Linked DNA regions of Styela clava. The protein of the gene in region 2 purifies or fractionates together with the protein of the main gene of each other region. This does not show direct contact. Links are inferred from orthologs where the notes say so. Each region holds a gene or a part of one and is shown on either strand. Other genes may lie near its edges.

Evidence for each region.
Region 1: the proteins of dynamin-binding protein-like (region 2) and bridging integrator 3-like purify together in Homo sapiens (co-immunoprecipitation; 5 studies listed by BioGRID and IntAct, counting the BioPlex papers as one, with this or other methods). This does not show direct contact. The link is inferred for Styela clava from reciprocal best matches to the Homo sapiens genes DNMBP and BIN3.

Annotation. Positions count from the first base shown.
Region 1 is NC_135256.1:9,883,489-9,899,327, reverse strand, and holds bridging integrator 3-like, read right to left. Parts: upstream 7,074-15,839; 5' UTR 6,686-7,073; coding exon 6,678-6,685; intron 6,299-6,677; coding exon 6,227-6,298; intron 5,692-6,226; coding exon 5,511-5,691; intron 4,669-5,510; coding exon 4,486-4,668; intron 3,975-4,485; coding exon 3,840-3,974; intron 3,569-3,839; coding exon 3,428-3,568; 3' UTR 1,964-3,427; downstream 1-1,963. Other genes in the region: protein unc-93 homolog A-like, read right to left, coding at 13,258-13,380, 13,792-13,970, 14,361-14,454, 14,535-14,708, 14,890-15,028, 15,567-15,687. UniProt on the Homo sapiens protein: Involved in cytokinesis and septation where it has a role in the localization of F-actin.
Region 2 is NC_135258.1:12,936,850-12,953,531, forward strand, and holds the start of dynamin-binding protein-like, read left to right. Parts: upstream 1-9,303; 5' UTR 9,304-9,314; coding exon 9,315-9,510; intron 9,511-11,233; coding exon 11,234-11,356; intron 11,357-11,956; coding exon 11,957-12,172; intron 12,173-12,563; coding exon 12,564-12,971; intron 12,972-14,207; coding exon 14,208-15,654; intron 15,655-15,818; coding exon 15,819-15,974; intron 15,975-16,682. Other genes in the region: alpha-1,3-mannosyl-glycoprotein 4-beta-N-acetylglucosaminyltransferase A-like, read left to right, coding at 137-167; E3 SUMO-protein ligase ZBED1-like, read left to right, coding at 2,165-3,526, 3,974-4,396. UniProt on the Homo sapiens protein: Plays a critical role as a guanine nucleotide exchange factor (GEF) for CDC42 in several intracellular processes associated with the actin and microtubule cytoskeleton.

The DNA.
Region 1 (15,839 bases), on a different chromosome or scaffold from region 2:
AGAACCACAATATCGATGTATACTTTCTATTTTTGATGACTGCAACCCTAACAATATGTCATTCGAGAAAAGATTGGATCAAGATCAGAACCATCCATTCACGAATAATATTACCTGTAGCACGGATAAACTTCAAAAATTTTCCGACTGTCCTACAGATAATGATGCGCATTGAAAACTAGTTCGAAAATAGTTTGGTTACTCTGTACGATTCTCTAAGAGAAATTTTTCATCTTGAAAGTTCCCTGGTACTGTATCAAAAATACCAATGAGTTGTTTAGCACGAAGTATGTTACGCGATCAATGTCCCAACATCGACATTCAGCAGAAACAAACAGCGGAAACAAAATGCATGTATTTACCCAGCGCATTTCGCGAAACAAAATAGATCATTCAACTGTAAAAAGTATTGATGTGCTTTATATATATTTTTATATTATTGTTCTTTTTGTCTCTCTTCGGAGATTGTAATCTTGCAATCATGGAACTACTATTTAAACTTACGTCTTTTTTAGATTAATAACTCTTTTGGCCACTCAATTGGTTTGGATGCCGAATTTATATACGAAACACATCTGAGAAATCGATGTTTTGGAATGAATGTAGATTAACTATAGTATGCGTCTAGTCCTCCGAAATCCGAATGACTTGTCATTTACTCCCGAAGTATGTGTTACCAGGTTAGGGCTGAGCCATAATTTTATTCCGATTTTTGTTATTTTAGTTCTATAACGAGTTCGGGGACTGTCTGTGTTAGCTAAGTGAATATCCTCCTACTCATATGTTTCAGTCCTTTTACACAACTTGATGTAAAATAGGCGAACAAAATTAGTTTCCTACATATTGGTACACATACTTGTGGAGTTCCTTTTCAATGTTCCAAATATATAAATTTGCTTCCGTAGTCCATGTTCTGTTCACTCTAATACCCAATCCGTATAATACCAGTCGCTATGGCTAATGCTATGGACAAAACGTTAAAAAAATACTCCGCAACAGAATCTATAGCTAAATTTGTACAAAGACCTACGTTAAACGGCATTTGAATAGTAACAAGTAAATGCACTATGAACTCAGCGAATAATGCAATCTTGCAGTCATTAGATTCATTTTTTCTGCGGGCATTGCAACTGCATGACCTTTGCAGTATTCATCGCTCAAATCAAATTTGAAATTGATGTAATTTGTTGAATCGAGTTACACTTTATTGGCAACTTTCCTGTATTGATATTTTTGTACCGTGGTGCAGTTAGACGCGTTGATTTTGCAAGGCGTCCAGAATCACACGCCGCGATATCGGATTGTCGGATACCTTACTCCAAAAAAACTCCAGCCGAGAAATTTTCATCTCCATGTGCGAAATACAGTTTATTAGTCTAAGTGCAATAAGATCAATGGAAGTGGTTGAATATATTTTCGTGGAAAGCTGTCAGACATGTTATTGGATGCTAAACTTGTGACGAAGAAAAAGAAGTCGAGCCACTTTGAGACGGATGGAATCCACCTTCTATCTATCAATATTTGTTTGTTGTCACAAAAACAAATGCACAATGATTGGTACAGAAAATAAACAAGAGTACTATACTCAAATATATGGACACCTAGCACCATATAATTTTGATGACGTCATAGCAAAAAATAAAAGTAATAGCCCTCTAGCAAAAAATATAATCTTTACTCACTGAAAATTTCAAAGCAATTAGTCCAGTTATCAAAGAGAAAAGCGATATCTTCAAAACGTGTCTAAGAACAACAACAACATAATATTGAAACGATCGTTATGTCCACTACGTGTCCAATAAAATAGTAAAGTTAGTCGCGCGACAGGATTCGCGAGGGACCTGGTTAGGTTTTCAAGCAGCGACACCTATAGTGTTGTTACTGGTTCAGTGTAAATGGCGCTCTGATGGAATTTTCGACTAGGAAATGTCCTTAACCCGCTTTCTTTATATACAAAAAAACGTTATCAACCAGTGTTTTTATTATCAATTACATATACAAAAGAATTATAATAATCACAATAAAATATCTATATCATAATAGCTCATTTGAGGGAGCATTCAAAAGGTTCACACTTGTTTATAAAGTATAATGAAGTACATCAAAATTTTTTACTCATTTTTCAAAATAAAATAAACGATGGCATGGTTTTCGTACTCGCAAGTACATCTTTACCAATATACAGATGTCCTAAAGCAGGAGGGATTTTATACAACTTTTGGTTCAAAACAAAAATTGGATGAAGGGAAGCATCAAAAAACAAGTATTGAGAGATTAAAAGATCAGATTATCAAAATATTCAACATTAAAAAAATAAAGAACCTTTTGAATGGATTACTGAAGAATATATAAACTGACAATGAAACAGCTTCACTGGTTGGATCCATTTTGTAGTAGCAAATATCTTACTTGACAAACGATGAAAAGACTGATATTTCAGAGACTTATTTAACTCTGATTTATTGCAAGAATGAAAATTAATCATGAAACATAACGCCTTGAAATTAGCAGTCAAAACATATTTATAATTTACTACAATCAGTTGAATGGAGACAACTTGCCAAATATTCAATGCATCAAATCTTAAGGTTTAAATTTAGCAGACCAACAAATAGCTTTGCTAAATTCTTGTTGGGTAGGGATTATTTTTATGATGAATGATATTCAAAGCGAATATTCAAAAAGCGACTTTTGTAAGCATCAGTTGTTAATATAATGTATAATTTCATTTTCAAAACTGCCTACAGGAGTGATTAAAGGTCAAAAAACATACAATTTTAAAAAACAGATTAAAAATATAATTTTTTCTTTAGAATAACTGCTAGCAGCACCAATATTTAATCTATATCAACTTTAGCTGTAAAAAGGTAAAATTATCTGGTAATTGAGTTTTCACAAAAATAATTCAATCCAAGAATTTTAGAAATTAAAATATACATCTCTTATACAATAAAAAAAACTGAAGGTAAAAGATTAATAAGCACGATTATATGAATACAAGGACACCAATGATAAGATTATTCAAGCCTACAAAAATAAAATAGTAGCACTCTGAAGCAGTATAAAAAGTCTGCTAAGGTAAACACAATCAGGTATCGAAGTAGGGGCGCAAAACAATCCAATTTTTTTCAAAACTTCCAATATACATTTTTAAATTAAGCCTGACAAGGAGATGATGGTTTGTGTCACACTCACATCAATATCAGGTTGTAAAAATGTAAACTGTAGCATGAGCCAGATGCATAACACATCTATATAATATCTAGTATTAATAAAACGATTGAATATAAGATAAAGTATACAAATACGGATGTCTCATTATGTATGCGAGGACAAATAAAAATTGATAAATACATCACACATACTACCATTTCATAAAATAGGGCTGGCAGCATAAAGTTCGAACCTAATGGATGCTGTTTAGTGTTCAGTCTTGAGTTATACTCAAAGCTCTGATTTGCTCCAATGTTTCCCTGACGTCTTCTTCCAGATCTCGTTCTGGTTCTCCATTTGTAAGATCGTTGAGTGCAGTGTTAAATAATTTATTCAATTCATTGTGATGCCAGGACTGAGAAAAAAGTAAACATAAATATTTTTGTTCATATTGAAGTGAATTTTTTCCATAATCTGAAGTAAAATGTATTTGAGTACGTTTTTCATCTGTTACGGGCATAGCTGAAGTCTTAATATTTTGTTTGAGCTGGGGCCAAGCTTACCATGCTATATGGAGCCGGAGTTACTCAAAGTTTCATTGGATCCTGCTAACCAAATAAATAAATACTCATTAACAAATATAGAGGGGTAAGGTAAATTGCAAAACATTGGAAACCTCGTTATACCTGTGTCAATACAAGAGATTCAAACAGAGGTTGTAAATACTGTAATCTGCTGTTATAAAAAGCAGGAAACTCATCAAGAAGCATGGAGTGCTTTGCTTCAAATTCATCCTTTACAGGTGTGAGGTCTTTTTTCAACTGAAAATTTGTACAAAATATATTTCTAGTAATGGTAAGGTATTGCACAACATCAAAGAAAATGACCTAACAAGCCACATTTTTATTTGAGATTTGTTGTTATAAAAGTTTGACTTTAAAATACAAGTTTTATGTACACCATATGCACTCAGTGCCTACCAATATATTGAAAAGTCGGAATGTTTAATTTTTTATATATGAGATGAACAGTTTACAAGATAACAGAAATACAGCTGCTAAAATGTTTTTCATTATTTTGTATTGATAATAGGTTGCTGTATCTGTTAGCATTAGGACATTCGCTGACAGAAATATTAAGAATTTCTAGTATTCTATTCAAGAAAGTAAATTGTCACTTTTCTTGTTGGTTGGTTAAATCCATAATTGATTACTAATTGCTTCCTTCACTCGTGTAAAGTGTTTTGAATACGAGGGAATATTTTGAAATGATAATTCAATTATTAATTTGTTGATCAGTTGAGAAATTTGGCTTAAACATAACTCTACTAACATTTTGCTTTTTCACCAAATTTGATCCAGTTTCTTCCTTTTCATTCAATTTATCAACTTTTGCCTGTAATCTTTTGTATTCTTGCTGACACTTTTCGTGTGATTTTATCTGCGAGTTGAGATGTGGAAAAATTGAATTATATTTCTTCATGGGATCAACCAATGTCTTCTGGATTAGCTGATTCTGAATACAAAATGGAGTCTACGTATGAAGTCAGATAGATCGGAGCATGAAATTAAAAAAATGCATAATATTAATAAATGATTAGTTAAACACAATGAAATATACCGGTATTCATGCATTAGCTTAAGTTGAAATTTTCATAATTTATAAATTCAATCATGTTTGCATCATTGAATAACTTTCAGTTGCATCTTTTCCGCAAGTGATAAAACCTTCAGTTGTATTATACAGTTTTGAACACATGCAGCACTTACATCAAGACTAAGGGGATTTCTGGTGCCTAATTTTATGAAATTAATGAGTGAAAACATGGATTAACATATTACAAGTCAGTTATCTGGAAAAATGGCATGTGAAATTGTTTGGGATAAAATCAAAAATTCATGTACAGGAAGTCCTCGGGTTACGACGGTCGCGACTTACGCTGTTTCGAGGTTACGAACGCGCACTCAATAACGCTGTTTTGACGTTACGAATGCACTCCATAAAAAATATAAAAGATAATACTGCACTGTACAGTATTTGCTTTTATTCATGTGATATGGAATTGTTTTCTGTTTTTAAAGTACTTTTTTGCATTATTTGTACATTTTATTACAGTACCATACTTTACAATACAGTTCGATATGTATAGAATAATTTATGTACTGTACAGTATAATGTTCCGACTAACACTAAAATTCGGGTTACACCGTGTCTTGAGAACAGAACAACGTCGTAAGTCGAGGACTCCCTGTATACTATTTTGTAATTGTCCATAGTTTAAGCTTCCCATGTAGTACATAGGGCAGTTTTGTTATTTAACTTTTTTGGCATTTTGGCAGAATAAATAATTCACCAACTTTATCTTGAGTCATCCTTCCACAATCACTCATTGTTTTCTTCAGAATATTACCACATTCATTCTCTCCTGTTAATGTGTTAAAGTCTGATCCAACTTTTGTAGCAGCTCTTCCAGCTACAACTGTAGCGTCTGCTAATTTTTTACCATCTTTAAAGAGTCTTTTACTTGCTTCTTCCGCACTGTATGAATAAAGGAAATAATGTGTTTTAATCTAATATATCATGGACAAATTGTTAGAATGTAATAGGCATTATTTTTTATATACCAGTAATTATAATTCATAATGATATCATTGGGTATGTTTGTAAATTGATCAGATAATACATATTTCATATTAATACTTAATTTTAGTTTGAGCTTGCACTGGGAAAATCAAATGAAATAACCTTTTTGACTACTGAGCAACTATTAAAAACTTCTGAAACTGGATTTTTTGATTCCAATTTCTGGATATGTCATTTTATCCCACATTGCATTAAACACATGAGTTAACACAGATACGAAAAATCGGATTGCTAAAATAGAAAAAAATATGAATATCAAATCTCATAGTTTTATCTGAACTTGCTCCAGATATGGACAGTCTATATAACAAGAATAAAAATTCATATGTGAATGTGATACATTCAATTATTATAAGGACTATAAATTAAGAATTACATAGCACATAGTACAAATGCAGAAAAACAAATTTTCAATTTTGAAAATACATACTGTTGTATTTTTATATATTCTCTGGCAACGTCCTTTTCCGCTGGAAGACTTTTGCGACCTTTAAACCAGTTTCTGAAACACATACAAAAAATGATTTTTTAACACAGTATTTAAAAGTTTTTCTTTTACCTCCCCCCCTCTTTCAAATAATTAAAATTAAAAAAATAAATCAATAATTAAAGCAAATATGTATAATATGGTCTTTTATACAGACAGTTGTGCAAGAAAAGGTGATTGGTAGGTGTGGTACCGGTACGGTAATGTCTGAATGTCCTAACAATTGTAGTCTAGTTGTACAAAATATAATTATTTTTAAACAACTTCTGAGGCCAGTAAGTTTGCGAGAAGACTGAAAATAAACAAAAATAATACGGTACCCGGTACTGTTATAAAATAAATAAATAACAGTACCGGTACCGGTACAATACCAGAATACAGCAATAAAACTCACAAGCTCATATCGGTGGTGCACGACCAGGCGACAGCTGCTATTTCCAGGCACAGACGTGCCCTGGTCAGATGAGCAGCAGGCCAACAGATTTGTGAATTTATAAACACCACCCGGCCACCACACTTCAACACTAGGCTACTGGCACTAGTTTAACCGATCACTGGATCAGAAATCGCACGTACCCGCCTACGTCCGTCCACTTTCAGACTTTCTTTTAGCTATTGATGAGATTTTTTGTCAAATTTAATTTTAGTGACAATACGGAACTTGATTAGTCTTGAAGTCTTAGACAAATCTCAGAGAATCTAAAACATTTGCACCGCTACCGTAACACACCAACCACTGCCATCCAAAGTGACTATAACTTTTATATTCACTTTGCTGCCCTTGGGCAACGGCCGGCAACCAACTTGCCTAATGTTAAACAAGTTCATGGACGCCATCTTGTGCCCTATTTGGGAAACGCGAAACAATGCAGTCTTATGGGAAATTTTCGTCGTGTTTTTGTACCGAATCGAATAAGTCCGCTGTTATAAGGTCTAGAATGAAACCGAAGGGTGGATTTTGAACTTTAAGATATATGCTATCTAAATATATAACGCAATTAGGAATAAAAAACTATCTAATGCGTTAAATTTGACCACAAACACAGCGTAGAACCATTTTTGGTCATTTTTTCAAAGATTTTATACTGATACGCCAATTTGAGGCTGTAAAATGCCTCCGCAACAATCCTACAATGTCATTTGTTCTTCTAGCGCAGCTTGCAGCTGAGCAATAGGGCATTATGGAGCTTGACAGACGAAAAATGTTAACCAGAAAATAGAAACGACCATTGAAGCAAAGCTGGTTCGGCCGGTAATTTCGACGAATAAATACAACTTTTCATCTGTGACGTCATAAGGAACGCCATTGTCAAATGGTTAATTATGACGATTAGAATAGCCGATTTACTTCGGAAGCAACTCGGAACCGGTATACTTGTCTTCAAAGACAATTTAATGTACTATAAATGTAATTTGGCCAACATGAAACAATATAAGCATGTACGGCTAAGATTCTACTTCAAAACACGACCTTCAAAAATATTTTACCTAAAATATTAGTGAAAATAATAGGTATGTTTCAATAATTGTGTTGGAACTTCTCATAAGGCGCCGTGTTAAATTCACGAGAACAATAGGCACAAGATGGCGTCCATTGTCAGAGCGTTGCCTCGCTTATATTATATATACGCTTTGCCCTTGGGCAATCAAATTATCAAAACACCAGCAAGTAGCTAGGTATTTCTGAATAAACACTAGTTGTCGATAAAGAGCAGGGGTTAGTTCGGATACCTAGAATTTTTATTATCTGGATAACGGATATATCCGGGTATTCCGTATTTTAACTATCCAGTCAACCGGATAGTTTAAAATGCTGCTAATTTTAAAGATCCGATTTCGCAAGATTTTCACGGCGAATTGACCAAAAACCACCACACAGTTCTATTGTGAATAGCTCAAATTCGCAAGATCGCAAAAATACGAATAAAAACTGAATTTAATTGTGCATCTTACTACGTATTTTCATATACCGGTATGCAGAATGCGGTGACATTTTATAGTAGAAGTGCTTTAATTTTAACGTATGTCGACGCAATCGAGAGATACGTTGAACAGAGTTATTATGGAAAGACATTTTAAAATGCTCGAATCAGCCACAAATTGGTTATTTTGCACAATAGGAAAATTTAGGAAGTTGAAAACATGCACATTACATGCATTCGTATACCGAAAATTTAGAAATGCCACACAGATCACATAGATTACGAAGTATTTGGAATTAAGTCCTGGCTTGTTCCATCATGAAATGCGTTCCTTCAATACACGCAATAAACTAAAAGCCACACCCGAGCAAAAAGCCACAAACTCACACCCACACATTCAATGCTTTTCAACCTAATTGGTGGCTAAAATATGGGCAGAGTAGTGTGAATAAAATATGTTATTATATGCTCTGGAGTCTGGGAGAAGTCAAGACGCCACTCAACAAAAAATATAAAAATTACTAATGCGCATATACATTATTTATATTGCTCTATTATCCGGTTAACCGTCATAATATTATCCGGATATCAGATAGTAAAATACCTCTCTGTTATCCGAATAACCGCTATCCGGATGATCCAACCCTACACTAAATGCGCATACATGAATTCACATTAAACCATTTTTAAACTTAAGAAACCCTATAACTAAACGGAGAACATATTGTCAAAATCAATTCATGAAATACTGTTTTCAGATGCGTTCGGTATTTTAGTAAAAATAACGTGCACATGTACCGTAGGCCTCCCTCCATATGTGATGAGTAATTTATTTTCCCGCCAATACTGAAAATATGCAACTGAGAAATATGCCGATGAGTTTTCATTGTTGTTTACAAGTAATAACACTACCAGACTACCGTTATACCTAGATAAAAACTGTGCTCACAAACAATTTCAGAGTAAGTATGTAAATTGTAAGTATATCACTTTTCGTTTCAGACGTTTACAATTTGTCAACAACACTAACAGATGAAAAAAAATGCTTCATGCTTGAGCTCTTAAAACCTAATCAACAAATTTGCTGTACATTGATAGAAATACCAAGCCAACTATTCAAGAATATCTTAAAAAAACTGGCTTCTGTGGAGTACATACTGAGACAATAAAGGGGTTTAATCAGTCTACTGTATGGTATACAAAGTTCACAATTACAGACTTCCGAACTAGCATTTACCTGCCGTGTTTCTACTGGAATTGTTTGAGCAAGGAGTTTGAGTGATGTCAAAGAAGCTCTTACAGATGTTAAAAATGAGAGAACCGTAACCAGTTCAGTAAAATCTCTAGAAAATACTGAACTATTAGCTAGCAACCTTTCAATTATCCACTCTTGCCTGGAACCTTGAAGACAGCCAAAATGTATATTTTTAACAAGTTATATCTCACACACAAGTTGAATAAATTCCATTGTGTATTCTTACCTGGGGATGGCACCCGTAACAAGAATGATTACTATTCCCAAAATGCTGAATTGTTATAAGAAATTAAGGTAGTACAGTGATTTTGTCATTTGCACCTGAGAAAAAAAAAACACTGGGCATCGGCGTAATCTATATGCTAATATGTGAGTGAAGCGATGTCTTCTATCTGTGCTTGGGTATATTTAGATCAAGGATAGCATAGCAAAATTCTATATTTGACCATAAACTGCCGATTGTGACTTTTCATAATTGGAACTGAGAGGTTCCAAGAAATCAGATACAGATTTTCTGCTTATGGTGTTCTTTAGTGATGTGCTTGCTATTTCAATCATATGAAACTTCTGTCCGTAATTTTTTTATAAATGAGAATGAGAAGTTCCCAGCATACAGATACAAGTCTTCTTAAGAAAGGTGGTTTTGTATTTCAACCAAATGATCCATGTACAATTACACAGCAACTATGATGATTGATGAATGTTGTATGAGCTCAAGCATGGAGGGGTTCTGCTGTAATTATCGGTATTCAAATCGTGAACATCTGAAAAAATGTGATATACTTTTTCAACATAAGTATGCCATTATTAATGATCAAAGCTATAACCAATCTTATCTCATACCATTTGCAGAAGTAAATAGGATAACTTTCATTTACTTTGACATACCGGTACTTTTTGAGCTGCTACCACCGGCACCCAAGGCACCTGTACTCATAAGCAACCATACCTCCCATTTCAACACGATTTTTTACTCAAATGACATATTGTCTCAGAATACATTTAGTTTTTTCCCAATAGTATCTTTTAGTTCCCGCTACGAAACACCGTGACATTCCAGTATTCATAAGAAACAATGCAAGACAGACCTAGTCGCGTCGGCCTTCAACAAGAAAAAGCAGTCGTCACCTCTTTTTGCATCAAATCGCAACAGGTCAAAGGTTATGAATGTCCCTTATTGGACCTTTCTACGAGCATCGACTTCCTCGTTTACTTCGTCTCATTGGCCAATCAGCAAGATCCAAAAAGTGACGTAACAATGCTCCCTTTTCGCATCCGCTCAGACACTTTTTTCACTCAGACAGATCTTTAGGCGTGGCCGTAAACATTACCTCGTTTTCGCTTTTTTGAACCGCTGTTGCTTTTAATGTCTTTCGTGTTGCATCAATTTGCAAATTCTAGACATTAAGGTGTCCCAGAATGGTTTAGCACTAAGTTGGGAACCCTAACTTCAATTCACCTTGAAACTGGCAACCTGGGACAGTCCGCTTCGTTCAGGATATGGTTTTTGCGGAAATTGTGGGTAAAATTTTTCGTTTTGGCCTCCTTGTCCATATTGAGAATTGTCTTCTTGTTATTTATGACCTCAGATGAAGGAAAACCTCGAAGCAGGCAAAAAACAACTCTCATAGGTACACATTATGACGCAACAATGCAAAGTAAAGACTAGTGTGGTGTACATTGCAGTGTTGCCAACTTGGGTTATTTTAATCTAGATTTAGATTATTTTCGTATAATTTAGATGGAAGAAATACTTATTTAGATGTCTTATTGGATTATTTTAGTATTCATTTAGATTATTTTGACAAATGTTATTTTGCATTGTTCTTTAGTGACAAAAAAGTGAAGTTCGTTTCACTAGTACCTAACAGTACATTTAAAGAGATAGGATTCCTGGATATAATACAGAAAAGTTTTCCAATCAAGATTAATAGTGTTCAAAACAAGGAGAGAGGTTAGCCGAAAAAATGTCCAGTATTGAATACTCTGAAAGTGGCGTGAACTGAATGCTGTTGTTATGCGAAAATCTGAAATCACGAAATACTGTTGTTCACTAATTTTACCCCTATAAGTAGGGATGGGAAATATAGAATAATTTACTATTCTAGAATACTTTAATCGAATCCAGAATACCGAATCATATTCTATTTTTATTGTTATTTAAGTTTGGGAATTCTCCCACCATATTGATGGATTATGAATAATACAAAAATCAGTTAGACCGGCTATTCTAAGATGATACGATAGCATCCATATATATCCAGTTATAGGAAACTCAATAATAGACTAAATTTATATGATCTTTTATATTTACAGTTATATCTTGTATTTTTTGAAGAAGTTAGTCCATGATCTAACGAAAGCTCACAAATATACTTACTATTTCGTTGAAAGAGATCATGTTATTTTTATTCTTCTAAATTAATTGCAAATAATATTTTAACATCTGACGTCTGGTACACATCATTTTCCGTGAGAACTCGGAAGGACGCAACAAGCTTTCAATTCTTTTCATGATAAATACTTCAGTTACACTACTTATGTTCCAAAAGACGTGTTGATATAAGTAATTATTATTCTTTACGGCAAAATTTTCGTTTTTTTTTTTTATTGAAAATGTAACTTTCGTATATTTGGATTATAATTTTTTAAATTTAAATTATTTTAGATTTTTTGTTGTTGAGATTCTAGATTATTTTATCGCTGAACAGTTGGCAACCCTGGTACATTGCGATTCCGTTTACTCGATATAGTAATCGGATGGAATAGGTAGATAGCCTACTGCGCTCGCCAAGTCCCGCTCGCTTTCTATCTTTCTCTTGCGCGTTTCACTTGTACAATTGGTTATCACTGACAAGATGAATTTGTTTTGTGACAATTTTCCATAGGGCATAGTTGCCAATCGTCTACTAACCGAACACCGCCTTAATGTTACTAACTGGGCCTCCTCTTTTTATCTCTTTCTTTGGACATATATAAAAAATCAGTCCGACAGACACAGGGCTTCTATTATATATATATATATAGCAGCTTGCTTTTGTTCACCGCTACATAATGACCAAATTAATAGTCCCATGGGACAAATCATGGCTTCGACGAATAGTGACTTGTAAATAGTATGATACTGAAGTAATATGTATATATAATGATTGCTACATTTCTTGCTGTGTAACTGCAGTTGAATAGCATTTGTGATGACCAGTGATTCAAATCAAATGATTTTATCACCGTTTCACCACGTTTTGACACTGTTTTTCAAACGGTTGATGAGCACCTGAGAATGTGTAGTCAACATTGTGCTATCCGGCAGTCGAAGAAAATTACGAAAAATTGCCTTGTATGATACCGAAAAAGTATTGTACATATCGAGCAACAAATATGCAGCTGTTTTCCATGATAGTACGGGAAATGATAAAGAGAGCCAGAGCAGACAAAAATGTTACAAATTCTGTTGGTTAAACTTTTTCTTCTGATTAGATCAAAACAATTTTTAGTTTTTCCAAATTCGAAGACGTGATAAATTGGTAAATTATTGCGCAGTCGAAGATTTACTGATTTTTGCGCACATGTTATGCAATTGATGATATATATTACTAGACTGGACTTTTGCTACAGCGCAAGCAACCCAATAATATCTGGTGACGCATTATGAATATAATAAGATTCATTGGGATATTCAGCTTATTACATTGTTGTAAACATAGTTTCAACAAGAGCGTGCGTATTTAGAGTATAAGTTATACAAAGATCACAAAATGTTATGAACTAAAGTTTGATTTAGAAAATTTGGACTTTGTTCAAAAACTTGTTACATTGTCTTCTGGATTGTGACGTATGTTGTCAAATGACTGTTTTCGTTCGGAATGATCTTTTGATGTATTAGCAGATTTTTGATTCATCTTCCGTTTTCTTTCTAATAACTGAAATGAGAATATTAAAATAATCCTTGCACCATAATACATCAATTGTGGTTGAAACGTATAGGGAACACATTGATGTTATAGTAAAATTACTCTACACTTATCAGTACCTTAATTAAACATAAATACAATCTAGTTGTCTCAATCATTTTTCTACAGTGCACTAGCATACAATCAAATTGCTTTATAAAGCTACTAGTTAAGAAGAAGTTTCCAATTTGTATTCAAAGTATATATATGTAAAACATAAAGTCATACTAATCAAATCTGGATCTGTTTGGAACAAAGTTGCGAAACAATTAGCAAATACTGGCTAGAAAAGCGAATGTAGGTCAGTGTTCACTTTGGATTGATCTATGTGGGGTGAAAGAATATGCAGAGAACGTAAAAAGAATTCAATGTGATACTAACCTCTACAGCAAGATACAAGCTCATTCCAACAATTAGAAAACTGAGAAGTACGTATAATTTGACGTAGACACAAACGTAACTTTGGTAAGCGAACGCAACAACAAATCCTATGGATTCCCATAACTTATAGTTTGAAAAACTTTCTTCTTGTCGGTCAAAGAAAAGTACGCCGTACAAAGCTGCAAAACATTGGGTTATTAGTAACTTTTGCTATAATAAAGTAGCGATTCGTGACGTTGAATTAAATTTTTATGTCTCTAATTCTTGAACTAGAGAAAGGAGTAGGGCGCTGATACAATTTAACGTCTGCCAGATTTTTACAGGCCTCGAATCCAAACAAGACACTGAAATTGTGAAAGCACCTCACAATAGAAAAAATTTTTTGAACTAGAACTAGAAGCTGTTTAAAGAAAATCCATTCCTAATCAAAGAAGTATCCATATCTCATATTATTGTATTTTTCGAAAATAATGAGCTCTGCCATTATGTAACAAATTCCTACTATTTGTTGAAACTCGATCAAAATTTAACTTGCATTTCAAACACCAAATGACAATATTTGAACTCACCGTTCAGCTGCGTTTGCCATACTGCATCAGCAATTCCCCAAAACGCTGGAATAATAAAGAAGGGAGCTGGACTCGTTGGGTAAGGAACCCATACCTGTTAAAGAGTGAATAAGACTGTACATGCTGTAATGTTCTGTAATTATGAATGATTATCATATATCAATAATTACTTACTAGTAGTGTGATAAATATCGCAAGAAATATGAGAGTTGACATAGAAAACAGAGGCACTCGACCCGTGTATTTTTCAATTCGTCCGAACATAAACGAACAAATAGAATCAACAGCTCCAAAACAAATCATCGTCAGGCCAATCCAGTTGACAGCAATCGGACATGTTATAAATGACTGTAAAATAATTGCGCATTCACTGAACAAAAAGTGATTTATTGATTACTCTGGTGTGCTGGAATAATGAATCAGTTGAAGAGCAATGTTATCATTTGATTGAATGTTATCTACGCAGTGCAAACTTCAGGATTTGATTTGAAATTTTCAAATTCTGTAAAAAATTATTCAAAATTGACACCTTGGTGTAATCACCCGTTATAAAAGCTTGTTCAAATCCCGAGTATATTGTGATGATTATCAACATTATTTGATATTGATTTTTCATATGAGAGAATGTTCCGATTAGGAGTTCCTTCGCTCCTCGGCTTTCATTGTTTCTATAAAAAAATAGCCATTTTTGTATTCATTTAAAAACAGGCGGTACATTTTATTATGACAGGTTTATGAGACTACAAGTTAATAGGAGAGGATAGACTCACAATTAGATGACGATACATTCGAGGTTGTGCAAAAAACTTTTTACTCGAGCGTTACCAATATAGTTCGTCGAAAAATGGAATATGACGTCGATTATTATTGAACAATGGAGAAATTATGTTCGATCGTGGATCATGGCAATGAACAACCCAACCATGATAGGCGCTCATTGAATTGGCGCCCTTGTTCCCGTATCACGTATCTAATTCAATTCAAGGATACAGAAGTACTCGCTAGTAAAACATTCCCGTTTTCTCTTGCCGATAAATTGAAACTTCTACTCTAACATTTTGATTTTTTTGAAAAATTCACTTTAGAAGAAGAAAAGAAAAATATTTTTCATGCTTAATTCTTAAACAACAAGTCTCGTAACAACTAGTCGTAAAGTGTAACAGTCACGTGATTGATTACGTAGGTTGAAAATTTCAGAAGTTTAACCTGATAATAATCTTGTCCACGAATAATCCTACATTGGCTGCGGCTAAAAAACCAACTGCCGTGTAGATTCCCATCAATATATAAATGGTCTCATTTGGAATTGCTTCGCTGGTTGATTCGTCTAAAATAGAGACTATTGTTTGAGAGAATGTTGTATGAGAGGTATATATTACTTAGTTCATCTGTAGAACGTGTTGCGATTAGAACTATTCTAAAATATGGAACAATTTGATGTAGAATTATACGATACTTAATATCATTTTCATATAAATT
Region 2 (16,682 bases):
TTTTAGTTTATTATTACGCACAGCAAGTTGTATTATGTATTAACATCTTATCAAGTCACTTGTGAAATCCATTTTCAAGATGGAGTTCTTTATTGACTTAAGCTTTAAAAAGATAAGACAAATACTTTTTTTCTAGGGTGTCGTCTCTCGTGAAAAACACAACTTGAACAACGCAAGTACCGACATCACAAAGCAATGATCATTGCACGTATAATATGAATACCGAAGATATCAGCCAAAATTTTCCGCTAAACCACTACGTTACAATAAAACAGTTCATCGTTCAGTAAAACAGTTCATCAGTAATGGCGGTGAAGCGCTGAATAGTGAGTGAGGACGATTATTGGACACGAAAACAGTTATTTTTATGTATTTCAAAAATTTTTGTTGTCTTCATGGGATTTGTTTTTCACGTCGAAGTTTTGTATGATGACTCCACCAAAATTAAAAATTGCGCACTGTGTCGTGGTCCCGTCATCACATCTCAGTGATTTGAAGGTAAGGCCACAATGGACTAGGACTACCGGAACTGTAAGAGATTTGATACTACTTTGTTTTGGCTTTCGCGTCCGCATATTTGAGCATATCGCTCTCTTGTTTATTTATATATTCATATTCTTATCTGAAACTTTCAATGAAAATATTGGATCCGGCTTCAAAATTGAAAATCCCGGTTTAAACTTACATTTCTGGAAACACATACCCTCTTTTGCGTTAGTAGTCTTAACGCACAGTTTGACAACTTTTTTTTTATCTATTTTTGTGCTATTTTTATCTTTCAAATCAGTAAATAAAATAAACTCTCTCTCTACGGAGTAGAATTAGACGTAACCGCAGTCGGAAATCCGTACGTTGAGAGCTAATCAGCGAGAGATGTAGAGAAGGCGACCCCACCAGGAAAAGGTGAATAGGAGGTATCTCTGGACATGGGAACTGTAATAGAGAGAGAAGACGGTTAAAGGAGGTAGCCGCGCCATGCAGGTAGTAAGCAGTTCTAAAATGAGACATTCATTCTGCGTTGAGGCGGTCATTAATATGAGAAGAGCAAGATCCGGCGAGACTACGCTACCTACTTATACCCAGAGACAGCCCAAAGATTTATATGGAGAGGTAAAAAATGCTAGCCAGACAATTTTTTCTGATTATCGAACATATTCGTTTAACCAATCATCCCGATAAGAAATTTTGCGTCACTTGCACAATACACATTTATTTACATAAATATACACGGCGGTGTATGTTTTCGGAAAACTCCCAACTGCATTTTTCCTTGAAATCGTGAATAGTCTGTCTGATATTAACATCATGAAATTTCGCAATTATAAAGGCATATTCAAATTTGGTAAGAAATTGCCTCACTCGCACATTGCAAAATACACATTTATTTTTGATTCTATAATTTAGATCAGTGTTTCTCAAACCGTGTGCTGCGGCACACTATTGTGCCGTGAGAGATGAGCAAGGGTGCCGTGAAGCTTTTTGGAAATTTGAAAAACGAGCTGTTCGTATTGCACATAGGCATACATGCAGCTGGCAAGCTTGTGAGACTTGAGTATCCATATTTAATTGCACTGATAATTAGGGCTGGGCATTTCGAATCGAATATTCGAATCGAATCGAATAGTAAATTATTCGAATCGGTTCAGACGGGAATTCCGAATCGCCGCCATCTTGTTTTTTTTTTCTGTCCACCAATGGTCGAGGCGATTTAACGATTTTTTTTTTGTGGAGCCATCTCTCGGCGGGACATTTCGATCGCTGTTTTTTTTTTTTTTTTTATTTCTTTCACATCTGTAGGCGGCGTTTGAACATGTCCAGACTTGCACCTCTCCAAAGCCCTCTCTCTGCTCTCAGCTGTGAGCAGGACAAACGGCCGAGCTTCTCTCTCATATTATCTCTCGCACGTGCTACGCCGGCGTGATTTTGTCACGCACGCTTTTATGGCGCGTAATTTGTTCAGAATGCGGGAAGATCGGTTGCGCCGTCAGTTAGGATAGGCAGTTGTAGGACAGGCAGTTTTACACTTGCGTATGTTTTTGTGATTGCCGACATTGCAAGTGAGAAGGTATAGAAGACTAATTTGCGTGCTTTTTTTGCAGAATTATTGTGTATTTTTAAAGGGGTTTCTAGAATATTGTATACCGGTACTCGGCAACAGTACGGTATGATGAATAGGAAATCTCCCGTTTGGCGCCACTTTACTCCCCCAGCCAAAGACGATGACGAACGCCAGTACGTCGTGTGCAAGAGATGCGGAGACAAACTTAGTTACCATGCTACCACTAGTAATCTATTAGCCCATATTAAAAGAAGGCATGTAACTATTTGTTTGAACCCTGATAATCGAAGTGATTTGGACGAGTCCTCCAGTAAACAGTCCAAATTGGAACTTATTCGTCCCATCCTCCCTGCTCAGCAAGAAAAGATTACTTCTCTAGTTGTGGATTTTATTGTAAAGGATATGCGCCCGCTCAGCACAATAGAAGGAACACATTTCAAGCGCTTAATGGGACATGTTGCACCAAATTATTCACTGCCATCCAGGAGGACCATAACACGACGTGTAGAGGAAGAATATTGTGAAAAAAAGATGGAGCTTAAGAGAGTTCTTGAAAACATTAAGCATATGAGCTTGACTTTCGATGCTTGGACTAGTGTGAAAATGGAAGCATATTTGGGCATTACAGCCCATTATGTTGATGCCAAATTTAATCTGTGTTCATGTGTGTTAAGTGTGAAACCTTTGGATGATAGACATACTGCAAAAAATATTTGTGAGTGGGTAGAAGAAGTTCTCAATGACTTTGGTGTTAGTCCTCACGCTGTCTGTGCAGCAGTAAGCGATAATGGATCTAATATGAAGGCAGCCAAAGATATTTTTCATGAAAAATTTGGTTGGGCTAGTGTTGCTTGTGCAGCGCACACTCTCCAACTTTGTTTAAACAAAGGATTGGGAATAAACGGCATAGAAAAACCTCTTGCAGCAGCTCGACGACTAGTGCAACATTTTAAGAGAAGTGAATTGGCAACCAGTGCACTGGGGAAAAAGTGTGAGGAAATGAAGCTCACCTCCAAAAGACTCATAATGGATGTATCCACAAGGTGGAACAGTACTTACAACATGCTTGTAAGGTTGCAGGAATTGCAATGGCCAATTTTGGCTATACTTGGAAATAAAAATATCACAAATGCCACCAAAGCCTCCGCTCTTACAATCAAGCCTGGGGACTGGGAGATTTTCAAGCAGTTGATTCCAGTACTTGAACCTTTTGCAGAGGCTACTGATCTTTTAGGAGGCGAAAAATATGTCTCGATATCGATAAAGAATCCATACATCAAGGGATTGAAAAAACATCTGTCACGCGAGAAAGATGATGAACTTTTGGTAATCCGGCAGTTCAGACAAAAAGTAAAAGGCGAAATGGAGGAGCGATTTCCTATTGATCTTAATGATATCAGCTCGAAGGCAATGGCTCTGGATCCCAGATATAAACTGCGGGGACTTCGTACTGTGGAGTCACTTCAGGTAACTTGTTATTTCTTTCTGAATAAGATTTTTATTTTGCCAACAAAATTGCCCTACATGACAAACAACATAGCATGTTATTTTGGTTGGAATGAGGTCAAATTGAATTTTCATGTATCTTCATGTTTCAAATGCATTGACAGGATTAGATAAAATTCATGACATATCTGCATCGACCATATCTAAAGATATAGAGTTGACTTTTTCCCCACTGTATAATAAACATTAGTGAACAATGACTTGTTTGATGTCAATTGTGGTTCCTAAATCGCAGATTTCCATAAGAAAACTAATCTAAAATATTCCTGTATTCAAAACTTGTCATTTATTGAATGCATAAAATTTCAAATTTATCCAAATGTTGCTTGTTTTGGCCATACTTAATAAGGATTCCTAGTTGATCTGGCTAAAGTTTGTTTTCTTTTTTGACATGCTTTTTTTTTCCAGCTCAAAAGTGCAATCGAATTGGAACTCACAGTCTTATTTGAACAAACAGTTGTTGAAAAAGCTGAACCTTCATCTTCTTCAGTTCAGCAATCGACATCCATCATAAGCCTTGCCTTCGAATCATCAGAGTCCGATGACAGTGCAGATACTGAGGTCCCAGTAGTTGCCAATGAAGTGAACAAATTTTTTAGTTCCAAAGTACTTTCTGAATGTTCAAACCCCCTCACTTGGTGGAAAGAGCAACACGCTAATTATCCAAACTTGAGCAAGCTTGTTGACAAATATATGTGTGTAACAGCAACATCAACCCCAAGTGAGCGATTATTTTCTGCAGCTGGAAACACTGCCACTGAGCTCAGATTAAGCCTCACCGGATCACATGTGGAAGCTCTTGTATTTTTAAAATGCAATTCTGACATATGACTTTTTCCTTCCCATTGACTTATTGATGAAGCATGTTTCTTATCATATGTGACAACTTAGCAAATGACTGAGTGATAGATTTTGTGTTTTTGGGATTTCATGTATCTGAAGGACCCATTGCAATAAAAAAAAGTCACATGTAATTTTGTAGTTGCTAATTTGGTAAAATTTTTATAAGTATTCGAGATTCGATTCGATTCGAAAAAAATATTCGATTCGATTCTGAAATCATCAGGTATTCGAAAATGCCCAGCCCTACTGATAATATTATATATAGCATTTACCTTGTCTTACCTTGTCGTTGCAGTAAGGAAGATTGTTTCGGCATAAATGTATTGTGATGTCATAATGTTTTTGTAAACATGACGTCCACCTTCCACCGTGTCGACCTATCACGTTCAGTTAGGTAACAGGAAAGCAGGTTTGAACAAGTTTTGGCTATCTGCTTACAAATTATGTTTATTCATCGGTGCAAAGGCCATCAAAATATTCTAGCCATTCGCATCCCCATGACTCTGTTAACACGTATTTTATGTTCTGACTGAAATTAAAAGCAAAAACGGGAGAGACGGAACCTCGTTTATATTGTTTCTCAAAACAGGCCCACACATCGCATTAGCATTTGCTGAATAATTTGTTGAAGTCCAGCTTTATTTTTTCACGAGTGTGCCGCAAGATTTTTATTTATTTGCTTAGTGCGCCACGAGCAAAAAAAGTTTGAGAACCACTGATTTAGATAGACACGGCGTTTTATTTCACCAATGCGCGGAAAAACGATCAACGACATTTCGCGTTAAAATCGTGGTCCCAGATATCGACTGACTATTTTTAATTCTGCAAAAAAAATATTTTTGTGTATTTTTCTAATTGATTAGTCTATGTGTGTTCTTGTTCGAATTCTTCTGATTCCCAAACTTAAATTTTGGTACTCCCGGAGTATGTGAACCAAGATGTCGGACACCGGAACGTAGTATGTGTAGTGTACCAGGTTAGGGTTAGGTCATAATTTCGGGTACAAATACTACGGGAGTCACTTGGCTAGTCCCCGAACTCGTAATAGGGACCTCCTGAAGTATCAAGATGGCGCACAACCTGAACTTAGGTTGCGGACCAGGTTAGGGTTCAGGGGTGCGCATACTTTGGGAGTATCCGTAATAGAACTAAAATAAGGACCATGGACTTTTCCCCGAGCATCGACTTCCTTGTTTACGTCGTGACATTGGCCAATCAGCAAGACGCAAAAGTGACGTAACAATTTCCCCTTTTCGCTTCCGCTCAGGCACTTTTCCACTCAGACAGATTTTCAAGCGTGATCGTAAACATTACCTTATTTTCGCGTTTTTGAACTCTATTCGTTAGTTTTCTGTTGTGTTTCGGAAACTTAAATTTAAATCAGATAATTCAATAATCACTCTGTCTTCCTAGGAGTTTTAATTTAATTGCAGTAATAAAAAAATTAGTTTAGAAATAGCTGTGATAGACTAGGCTAAAATTATTTACCGGTCCTTTTAAAAAACATATTGTTGTATGCGATAAATCATAATGATGGTTTGAAACACATACCCCATTTCACAGGCGCCGACTCGCTAAAGGGCTATCGGGGTATGGATGTTTCCCCGAGCATAAAATTATGTGTTTATTCACGTAACAATTATAAATCAGCAATAAGTTAACAATGACATAAAAAATGGAATTTATGTCGCCGCGCAGACACTTTTTTCGCCCCGACAGATATTCAAGCGTGGTTGTAAACCGTGCCTTCTTTTTGGTAGTTCTAAGTGATATCCGTCAGTTTTTAGTTGTGTTTCCAAAAAAAAAAAAAAAACGTTTTAAATCAAATAATTTAATTGTCATTAAGTCTTCTGAAGACCTTTAGTTTAGTTACAATAATCCAAAACTGATAACGCAAACGATGCGAGAGACTAGCATAAAATTAGCTATTAGTACTAATACGGGGCACGTGGTTTATTATTTGAATGAAAATGATAGTTTTGAACATGTGAACCAGCGCCAACCAAATGGCGCCAACTCGCTAAAACACTTTCAAAATCAACGTTGAAAATTTTGATGTGATAACATAAGTATAAGGAGAATCTTTCAGGGTCAAGGGTCAGGAAAACTTATATGGATGCCATTGCCATTGTTGTGTATGACGCCACCATATACATTTGACGCCATAGTATGAATCTACCATTTACGTTCCGCATAGTTCTGTTTTCCTTGAAACCGCTCAGGATTAATTTGGAAAAAAAGACACAACGCAGGTTGACCATAGTAAAAAATATTTTCTATCACATTAATGCGGTAATGAAAAGAAGTTGCAGGTTCGTTTATGTACTAAGAATAGGAAATGCTGAACCATTGCCAGTTTGCCACCAAATTAGGAAATTAGCTACCGGTACCGGTACGTTCTGAGGTTACGGTACTACCGTAGTCATTCGTTTAGTTACTTAGAATTTTCAATGATTTTCTCTTGGTACCGGTACTTATGATATCAATGTTATAATTGGGTCCAGGATAAAATTAATAAAACCTTAAATCTGTAAATTCAATTCAAAAAGTTGTAAAATGACCTAACAAAACCTGAAAACAAATTTACTGGTATTCAGGTACCGGTATTATATTACCGGATAGCCTAATTAGCCTACTTATTATTATGAATACCGGTACAGTCTTCGATAATGAGCCATCGATACCTACGTCTGTACCGGTATGGTACCAGTACGGTACCTCTGTACTGCTGTACCTGGCCTTTATTTCGACTTTCGTCTACCGGGCTTAGTCCGGTCTAAAATTTTTTAAAACTGTATAGAAAAATAAGTTTAGATGAAACTTGAAACTGAATCAAATATTAGGGTCTGGTATAGTTTAGTACCACATGCACTTCTAGTTGGCATGGCTCAACAATTTGTGCATATGCCAATCCTAACCCCCACCTGACTACGTCACCGAAAAATTATGCCATTTGGACGTCACATTGGCGTAATAAGGCCCACCAAAGTATGCGGATGATCGTCCAAAACGCGCAGATGATCGCCCGAAATCGAGCAAGCTATTTCTCTCGTTTTCCAGTCATAATGATCACGATAGGAGAGAGATAGCCGGCGTTAGCGACTCCTAGCGAGTTCGTTATCGGCGGTGCAGATGCCATTTCGGGCGATCGTAATTATACCTTGGCAAGCCCTACGACATGTTTGTGACGTCGTATTGACGTAATTTTTAGATGGTATAGTCAGGTGGGGGTTAGGAATAACATATGCAAAATTCATTTTGATACGCCAACTGGAAGTACTTGTGGTACTAAACTATACTAGACCCAAATATTATATAGATATATAGATCTATAGCCACTTGTACACTCAAGTTTTTGATGTTGAAAAATCATTCCCCCTTTGCTGTATTTGTTTAATAACTGCACTTGGTTAGTCTACGTAGGTTTGATACTTAAATCAAACTTAAGTTATAAACCGGAAGCATCAATGCTATGAATGCTCTCTATCACTTATTGTTTGTCCAGTTGAAATTTAAGGTTGTCAGGTTGTTGATATATGTATGAATACCAAGATTCACACATCCATTCGACATTCGTTGTGATTCATCTACCTAATTTCCTTAGACTTACAATTATATTTCAACCACTTCAACTTTTTTCATAACAATCAGATTTATAGCCTAATCATTAATTCAGTCAAAAGATTAATTTAATCAAGCCAATAGAAAAACTAATAAATTTCAAATTTATAAAATGATGTTCGTGATAGTATATCATAATATAGACATTTTCAATTGGCAATAATTTCGGTGTTTGATTCAACTAAAGATTTTTTTTTCATCCTTGATTGAATATCTGTTGATTTGTGTGTAACTATTTCTGAATACTCATCAAATTTTAGCTGATTATGTCTAATCATGGCTTGCGGAAATATCTTGGAATAACACTAATTTTCAAGCATTTGAGCATCGTGTTGAAATATTAAAAACAACCCATTCATTTTTGGCTCTGCTAATTAACAAAATTTGGTGAAACTTTCAAAATCCTGAAATTTAGGAGAATATTTGACCAGCATGAGATAATCAGGAAACATATTGTCAGCTGTATTGAGGTATGGTATTTTTACCATATTTAATGTATGGTTTCAATTTTGGTCGCCTTTTATAGCTTTAATTCATCCCAAACTGATCATATTTTTTATATACTCTGCGCTTAGATGTTGCCAAAATATTTGACTGATCGCTCCACTATTCAAGATTGTGTGATGTCAGTATGTCACAATCACAATTATGATATTTGTCACTTGATTTTTGTATAGAAAATACAAATAAAAACAATGGATGTCGGTTTTTATATAATAATTATTAAAAAATCTTGTGATTTTCTACAATATAACTTTATTTTTGATAAATGAACACAAAAGACTATTCAAAAAATAAAACCATAGTGTTATTCCTCAAAAAAAAATAAATCTAAATCCTATCTAAATTTCAGGGAAACACAGCAAGAAGTGCACAAAACTGCTATGCATAGAAAAGCCACATGGTCATTCTTTGTGTAGCAAATTTTTGTTCCTTTGAGATGATCCTAAAAGGAAACTTTCACAGATCAGAATTTAAATTCAATTTAATTTCTTATGTTTTTTTGAAGATTTCCGTATTCGAGTCGCCACCGATCCTAATAACCAGTATAATTAATTCAAAGGTTCCTACATCTTTTCACGACCCACTCAAATTCTTTATGCGAACCCACCAGTGGGTCGCGACACATAGTTTGAGAACTGCTGCCGTAGACCATGTTCTTAGATGGTTCAATATATATAATATATATTATATGCATGGTTATTGTTTTTCTATATTACATAAAAAAATAAAATAAACATTTATTTGTTTTTAATCTTCAACGAACCAGTTTTTATCATGAACTATGAACCCTAGTAAGAGTAAGGCCAATTTCAGGCCACCACCAGGAAATTCTGAAATATGGTTTGCACGTGCATTATTCGAGTTTTCACCCAGTGTTTCTGATGAGTTGAATTTGGAAGTTGGGGATGTGGTTCAAGTTCACAATAAAATTGATGATTTCTGGATGAAAGGATTAACTCTTAATAATGGAAAGATTGGTATGTATCATTTTTTATTTATAGCTATTACTATTATGCAATTTACTTCCAATTTAGATTCATTTATGAACATTGACAAGTAGCCAAGTAATTATCTAGACTTGCGTCTTTTTGCAAAGATGGGCGTATAGAGTATCTAGCTCAGTGGTTGTCAAACTTTAATAATATGTGGCTCCATTCCAAAGATTCAACATTACAAAGGCCCCCTGCTCTTCAATAACAAAGTATAATTTTGTTTTTAATGATGGGTTTTTATCAGTTGGTGTATTCGCAATATTTAATAGTACGAAGCCAACAAAGGAGATTAAAATAATATATAGATTACAGTCAAATGACCAAACTATTTATGTTTAAATTAACTTTGAAATGTAGTCTTTGCGAATAGTTTCAGTGGAAGCCTTCGCTCATTGCCCCAGAGAACTTTTTGGCCCCGAGGTGGGTTGAGAGTCCAGTTTGAGAAACTCTGATCTAGCTCTTTTGAGGTATATATTTTGTGATCTGACAATATGATAACCTGAATGCCATATTAATTATTGTGACCTCATATACTCAGATTGTACCAATAGAATTTTCTTGCTTCACTATTATTGAGGCCCTAGTCTATTTTATGAGATGCTTTACAACTTCATTAAACAAGGGTCTGTATAGGCAGCATTGATTAAGTAAGGATGGAAAAGCTGAAATCTGTCTGTTACAGCTTTGTTCATCCAATTTATTACATTTTAGGCGAGCTGCGAATCCAACTTAGTTTTTCAACCATGGTTCAGCCTGTCCTGTCCAGGGTTTTTTACTAGTTTACATTTAATCCCGAGAGTCTTTATTATCATATGTATAGTTTTTAATTATAATCAAATACCTTTCAGGTTTTACTTAGCATCTAATATTGAACTTGAACATTTTGAAGACCATTTTATTTTGCTTTTATATACATTTATAGTTTGTACAATTCTTCGTACAAGTATTGCACAAGGGTTCCTCAAGCCACTGGAATGTTACATTGGGTTCCGCTTCACTAAAATGGTTAAAATTGTTCTAAACACTTGAATAAGAGTACAATGAATCAGTGAGATGAATGATTTCAGAAAACTTCGCTTAATATTCCTTTTCGCACTTTCCGTTTTTGGCTCAATTTTGCTATCTTGTTATCAATCTACTACCAAGAAAGTAATTACGGTATATCACAATCACAAATAACAAAACTTTCCTGACTTAATGTAGACAAATACCGAATTCGAGAACATACCGTACTTCCTTATAAGTGCACTTGAAAGAGTCAAGTGTATAATGCTTATATCATTTGCTCCATTGTTCACTCTTAAAAATGTTCCACTTATGTTTGGTTCGACTGCTTTTAATAACTTTCACCTGTTAATTATTGTTCATTTGGTATGTCGTACTGGTAGACATTGGTAGTGTGCTGGTATTTTGAGTCAAATCTACGATTATTGGTGTTATTTAAATATTTATTATAAATGTATAATATATTTATTCAATATAAATGGCATATCGAGGGTTTCAAGAAAAAGAACGAATGTATTTTAGTAATAAGTTAGGAGTTATTTTATTAATAGGTTAAAAAAAGTTTTTTAAAGTTTTGTTCTTTTGGTTATTAAGCCCTCGTTATTTTAATCGGTGAGATCCATAAAGACAAGGCATTCTCCATCATTCAAAAAATATTATCTGAATAGTTTTTCTTTAATATTTTCTATGCAAACCATCGCAGGTCAGTTTCCAGTTGATTTTGTTGTGGACATTGCCTTACCGAAACATTCAAAAGATGAAGTATTGTTATATGCACTTGATGCTTTCTACCCTGAGGTGAATGGTGATCTTTCCTTTAACAAAGGTAACAAAGCTTCTTTGACAGCTTTTAATGACAAGCATTGTTCAATTTTAGATATTATCTTTATATTATGCCTTTCAATGTTGTTCTTTCTAATTTTTGTTATGATGCTACCATAAGCTGGAATAGCAATACATAAGATTTAATTTCTAAGCCAATATTGGAATTTTTATCTGACTGTAAAAATAATGCTGTGGTTACTGTAGTAATTTACATTGTTTACAAGTGACAACAAGGTTAATTATAGTTCATTTTAAAACTAAGAAATGCAAGAGATGCCTCATTTTATTGTTTGGTGAGTTGTGTGTAATTTATGAATTATTTGGAAATTGGATTATCGTAATGATACTTTTGAAAAATTCATTTTAAAAATTCTGTTTATTAATGTGATATAAATTAAAAATTGACTCGTTAAATACATATTTTCATTCATAGAACTTCAATTATATTTGCCCTTAAAAGAACCAGAAAAAAGACATTTACGGTACATTTAAAAAAATTCTAATGCTGATTGAGTTCATTGGAATTATGTGAGTGTATGCAGAAACGCATAATCTTATATTAGCAATAAATAAAATAATAAAATTGAATAATATCTCACAGGTGACATAATTGTACTTGAAAATAAAGTCAATAATGAATGGGGTACAGGTCGTTCCGGAAACTCAAACAGGGGTATATTCCCCCTTAATTATACAGCGAAACTGCCATCACCAAAGATAGATTCTTTCAATAAAAGTTCAGTGCGAAGGAAAGCTCCGGTCGTCCCACCGGCAAACAAGATCAAATCTACCAAAGGAATGGCTGATAAATCTGAAGGTGATTATTTTATCCTTGAAAAATTGATTTGAGGCATGTGGCTTTTGTTATTGTCCCTAATTAGTTTACCATAAATATGAATACTATTTTGGGATTAGTTTAATATATATATTTGTTTGAAAAATTATAATTTTAAGCAATTGATGCTTCACAGTATGATCAGTAAGGTGTTTATATAATTTTTTGCGAACTATATCAAATTAAATGTTTATTACTGTATACTTCAACTTTCATGTATTGAACTCATCAAATATACATTATCATTAACTTCTACTGCACATGATCAAATTTAGAAGATATCGTGCATTCAAAAATATTACTGTAGAATTTATTTGGAATCGTTAATTATTAAATTTTGTCATGTAAATTATAATAGACAATTTTTTTACAGTTCTGGGAAAAGCTAAAGCCATTATGAACTTGACAGCACAGCTAGATGAAGAATTGAGCTTTCAAGTTGGAGATGAAATTCTTATCACTGGAGTATCAGATGATGGACTGTGGTTTGACGGCAAGACTGGGTCAGAGTCCGGCTCATTCCCTGCATCTTTTGTCAAACTTGAAGCACCTTTGAAAACTTCGTCTACTGAACAGCATCATTTTTCTGTCGACGTCTCTCATGATCATAATGAAAATAAAGGATGGAAAGAAGGGGATGTTGATGTCGTTGCTGATAGTGTAGTAAACGTAGGAAATTATTCTGCTGCTGAGTTTTCTAAAAAAGAAACCAAATTAACAAGAAATCATAAAGAATCGGAATATTTTCACACTCATGAAGATTCATCAAAAACTCAATCAGGTAACTAAAAAATATAAATATTTTCCTGGCAAATCCTTGATCCAGTTTCTGTATTGTCTTATACAAGGTTTTATATGTCTTTCTCTCTTTGAGCAAGGTTCTACACAAGCTGCCACTGGGTTAGGTTGTGGACATGGGAATTGGAATCGAATGTTTTTACCTGCAATGCTAACACATTTAAAACAAGCGTTTTGTTTGAAACTGTTAGAGAAGTGAATGTCTGTGAATATAATCAGGCACAAGGCTGTGATTTGTCATATAATAGTGTAACAGCTTTCTATTGTGGCATAAATTTTAAACTTCTATACTCCGATGCACACATCATCAATGATTGACGGGTTGTGTGTGCTTTTATGTTTTTGATATCTACTCTTAGAAGATATAATATTTGCATTGCATGTGTATCTATCTATGGAAATACATATTAAATACTAATTTTATATCCATATTTCATAGATATTGACTGTATAAATATTATTTTAACAGTTCACAAGGACAATATAATTAGTCAATATTGTTCTGTGTTGTATACCTGCATGCAACATTTCACTTCATAGCCTATATCAGCTGTGCTGTAACAATTTCACCCTTTTGCTAGTTGATACAATGCCAGCCTAATTATATCAAGTGAACAATGGTGTATGTGATACTCTATTGTAACAATATTTGGAATTTCAATTGGGAGTTACAATAATAACAATATACTGTATACGACGTGTCTGTCGTCATTCTGAAATTCTGTGTGGAGATCAGCTATGACCATAACCGATAAATTTACTATTCCGAATACATTTTGAAATGACCAAAATTTTTCAAATATGAATTATTGAATATATTCCTAATTGGTTTATGTCAAACAAATAACACATACAAGTCAAAATTTGGAAAAATACAGGAAAATTGATATAAACAATTATTACCGGTATTAAGTGATTGACTGATTCCCTATATTTTACAGTTATAGAAATTAAGTGAAGACATTTTTAGTCATACTGTGACATTTCAATTGCTTTAAAAAGTAAAAACTGTCCGAATAACTCATCCTGAAATATTTCTAAAATAAAGAATTTAAAATATCAAATAATAAATTTCGAATCAATTCATTTTGTCATCCATGTTCGCAGCCATTCTGTACGTAGTATGGATGTTAAATGATATTCATGCTTTATGAATAGCACTCCCGTTTTGTCAATTATTCTTCCATATTTTTTTAATGACTATTAATTTAAATTTCAGATAATATTGCCGAAGACGCCACTGAAAAATCAACTGTAAAGAATATTTTATACACTGTAGAAGCATTGCATAATTTCAGTGGATCATCTGAGCAAGAATTATCATTTCACAAAGGAACTATTATTCCTATTTATGAAGAAGTTGATGAACATTGGTTCATGGGTAAAGTAGGAGACGCAGAAGGGTATGTAGCAAGAGCCTATGTATCACAGACCATTGAAGCAAAAGATTCTTATTCTGATATGCAGTCAAATGATAAGAAAAATATTTCATCTGCCAACTCACCTGTTTGTGATAATAATAAAACAATTGTTAATAACAATGAGAATTTTAATAATATGAAGCCTCAAACCCAACATGCCAGACAGACTGTGACGAATATCCTAAGAAAACATGTTGATAATTCTGAGTCACATGACCCCACTGAAAATATCGAAGAGGGTCATCAAAAATCTTTGGATTGTGGAAAGAGAAAAGCTCTGGTTATGTATGACTATGATAGCAGAAATCAACATGACCTGTCAGTAACGAAAGGTGACATAATTTGGATTATTCGAGAAGTGAACTCAGAGTGGTGTAAAGTTGAAAATGAATCAAAGAAAAATGGAATTATTCCTATTAGTTATGTGGAAATCATAGCCGAAGAAAACTCAAAATCAAAATTGTTACTGAAAAATAATACTGAAAAACGTAATGTAAATACTGTAAAAGACGTTGCTGATTCAACAAAAAAATATAGTTCCCAATCATCTGAAATGCAACAATCTTGCCATGAAAGCACTGTTTTGTCATCTGTACCTGAACATTGTAATGTAGCGGACTCGAGTTCAACACGATCATTAGCATTTTTAAGTCCAAAACCTTTTGTGTTTCAAAAACCTAGTATTTCACGAAATTATGACAGACGAAATGTTCGTCCTAGAACATTACAGAAATCAACATCTGTAGATTTACAAAAACAGCCGCTTTCGCCATCTAATAGTCATAGAATTCGCAGAAGTAATTCAAATCCTATGTCACGGAATGATACGAGCCCTAAAGATGCAATGGTTCATTTAAAAGCCTGGCAGCGAGCGGGGAAAGTCACCGATGTGACTACTCAAAATATTCGACAAGAAAGTGCAATTCAGGAAGTGTGTAGTGAAAATAAAGCTGCTGACAGCACTAGAACGTCCAGTCAAGCGGTTAATAGAAGCAGTAGTATGCGAGAACGAAATTCAATGAAGCGAAGTGTGGATCGAGTTCCATCTGATCCTAATTTTAGGAGAATTAGGTCCAATACAAACATTTTTACTGATAAAATTACTGAAAATGGACGCCCTAGAAGCACTTCACCTAGAAAAAGGTCAACAAATGTTGTAAATTCATCCGGAAATACAACTGAAACTTCTGAAGATTTTTCGTCAACTGTGAGCACGACATCATCATCTTCTATGGATGATCCAAGGTTAGAATATAAGTTTATGTTATTGCCTTGTATAATTCTTGCTTGAACTGTGTGCAATTACTTACTATGTTTTAGAATAATCAGACTGATTTATTTTAGGCATAATCTTAATAGACATCATTCATATGAAAAATGAAATTATTGATTTTTTTATTTCTAATTAGGTCAAGGTTATCGGATGCCTCTTCTGCATCCAATAAATCTATCAAAACAAACAGAACAATTCAAAGGTCAGCTCCACCAATTCCTCCCCACTCTAATGATAGAACACCAACGCCAGAACAAACCAAATCAATATGGAGTCCTCCCGTACCTCAAAGGTATGACAAGCATTCTTATTGTTGAACAGTATTTCGTTCGCCATTGCTATATATACATGATGGGTCAAAAAATTGTTACCATTTTTTTACATTCAGAATGTAAAAATTGTTAACCTTTTTTGGGCTGTATATATAATCTTTCAACATGAAATCATTCTCTGATAAATTCTACTCAATTATTTGGATTTGAATGAATGAGTATTCTGGTGGTATACTAAGCATTATATATTATCAAATTCAAGATCATTCAAGATTGTTAGTTCAGGAGTATTCTGGCCGGCTGTACTGAAATAGAACTTCTCCAATAACCCTACTGTAAAACTTACTTGAACATAAAGTAAAACTTTATTTTCAAACAAATATTCAGCTTCACCTAAAAGTTTGTTTTTACTGTACATATTGGATATTAAATATTTACTCTTAACAAGCCATGGAAGCCTAAATTAATTAAACATTTAAATATAACGAAAAGTTCATTAATTAGCTCATCAGAATTTTCAACCTGATCCATATATTGTAATGCAATCTAGACTTACAATTGTGTAAACCCGGTGGTTAGTGGTTACTGCATCGCCGTAATGCATCTGCGTCATGAAATATCAACTTTTTAAAAATGATTTCCTATCTAGAAAAACTTTGAATAAGTGATCAAATTCGCAGAAACTAATGTTGGAAAATAAGTGCAGCTAACCATGTTTGACTTTCAGC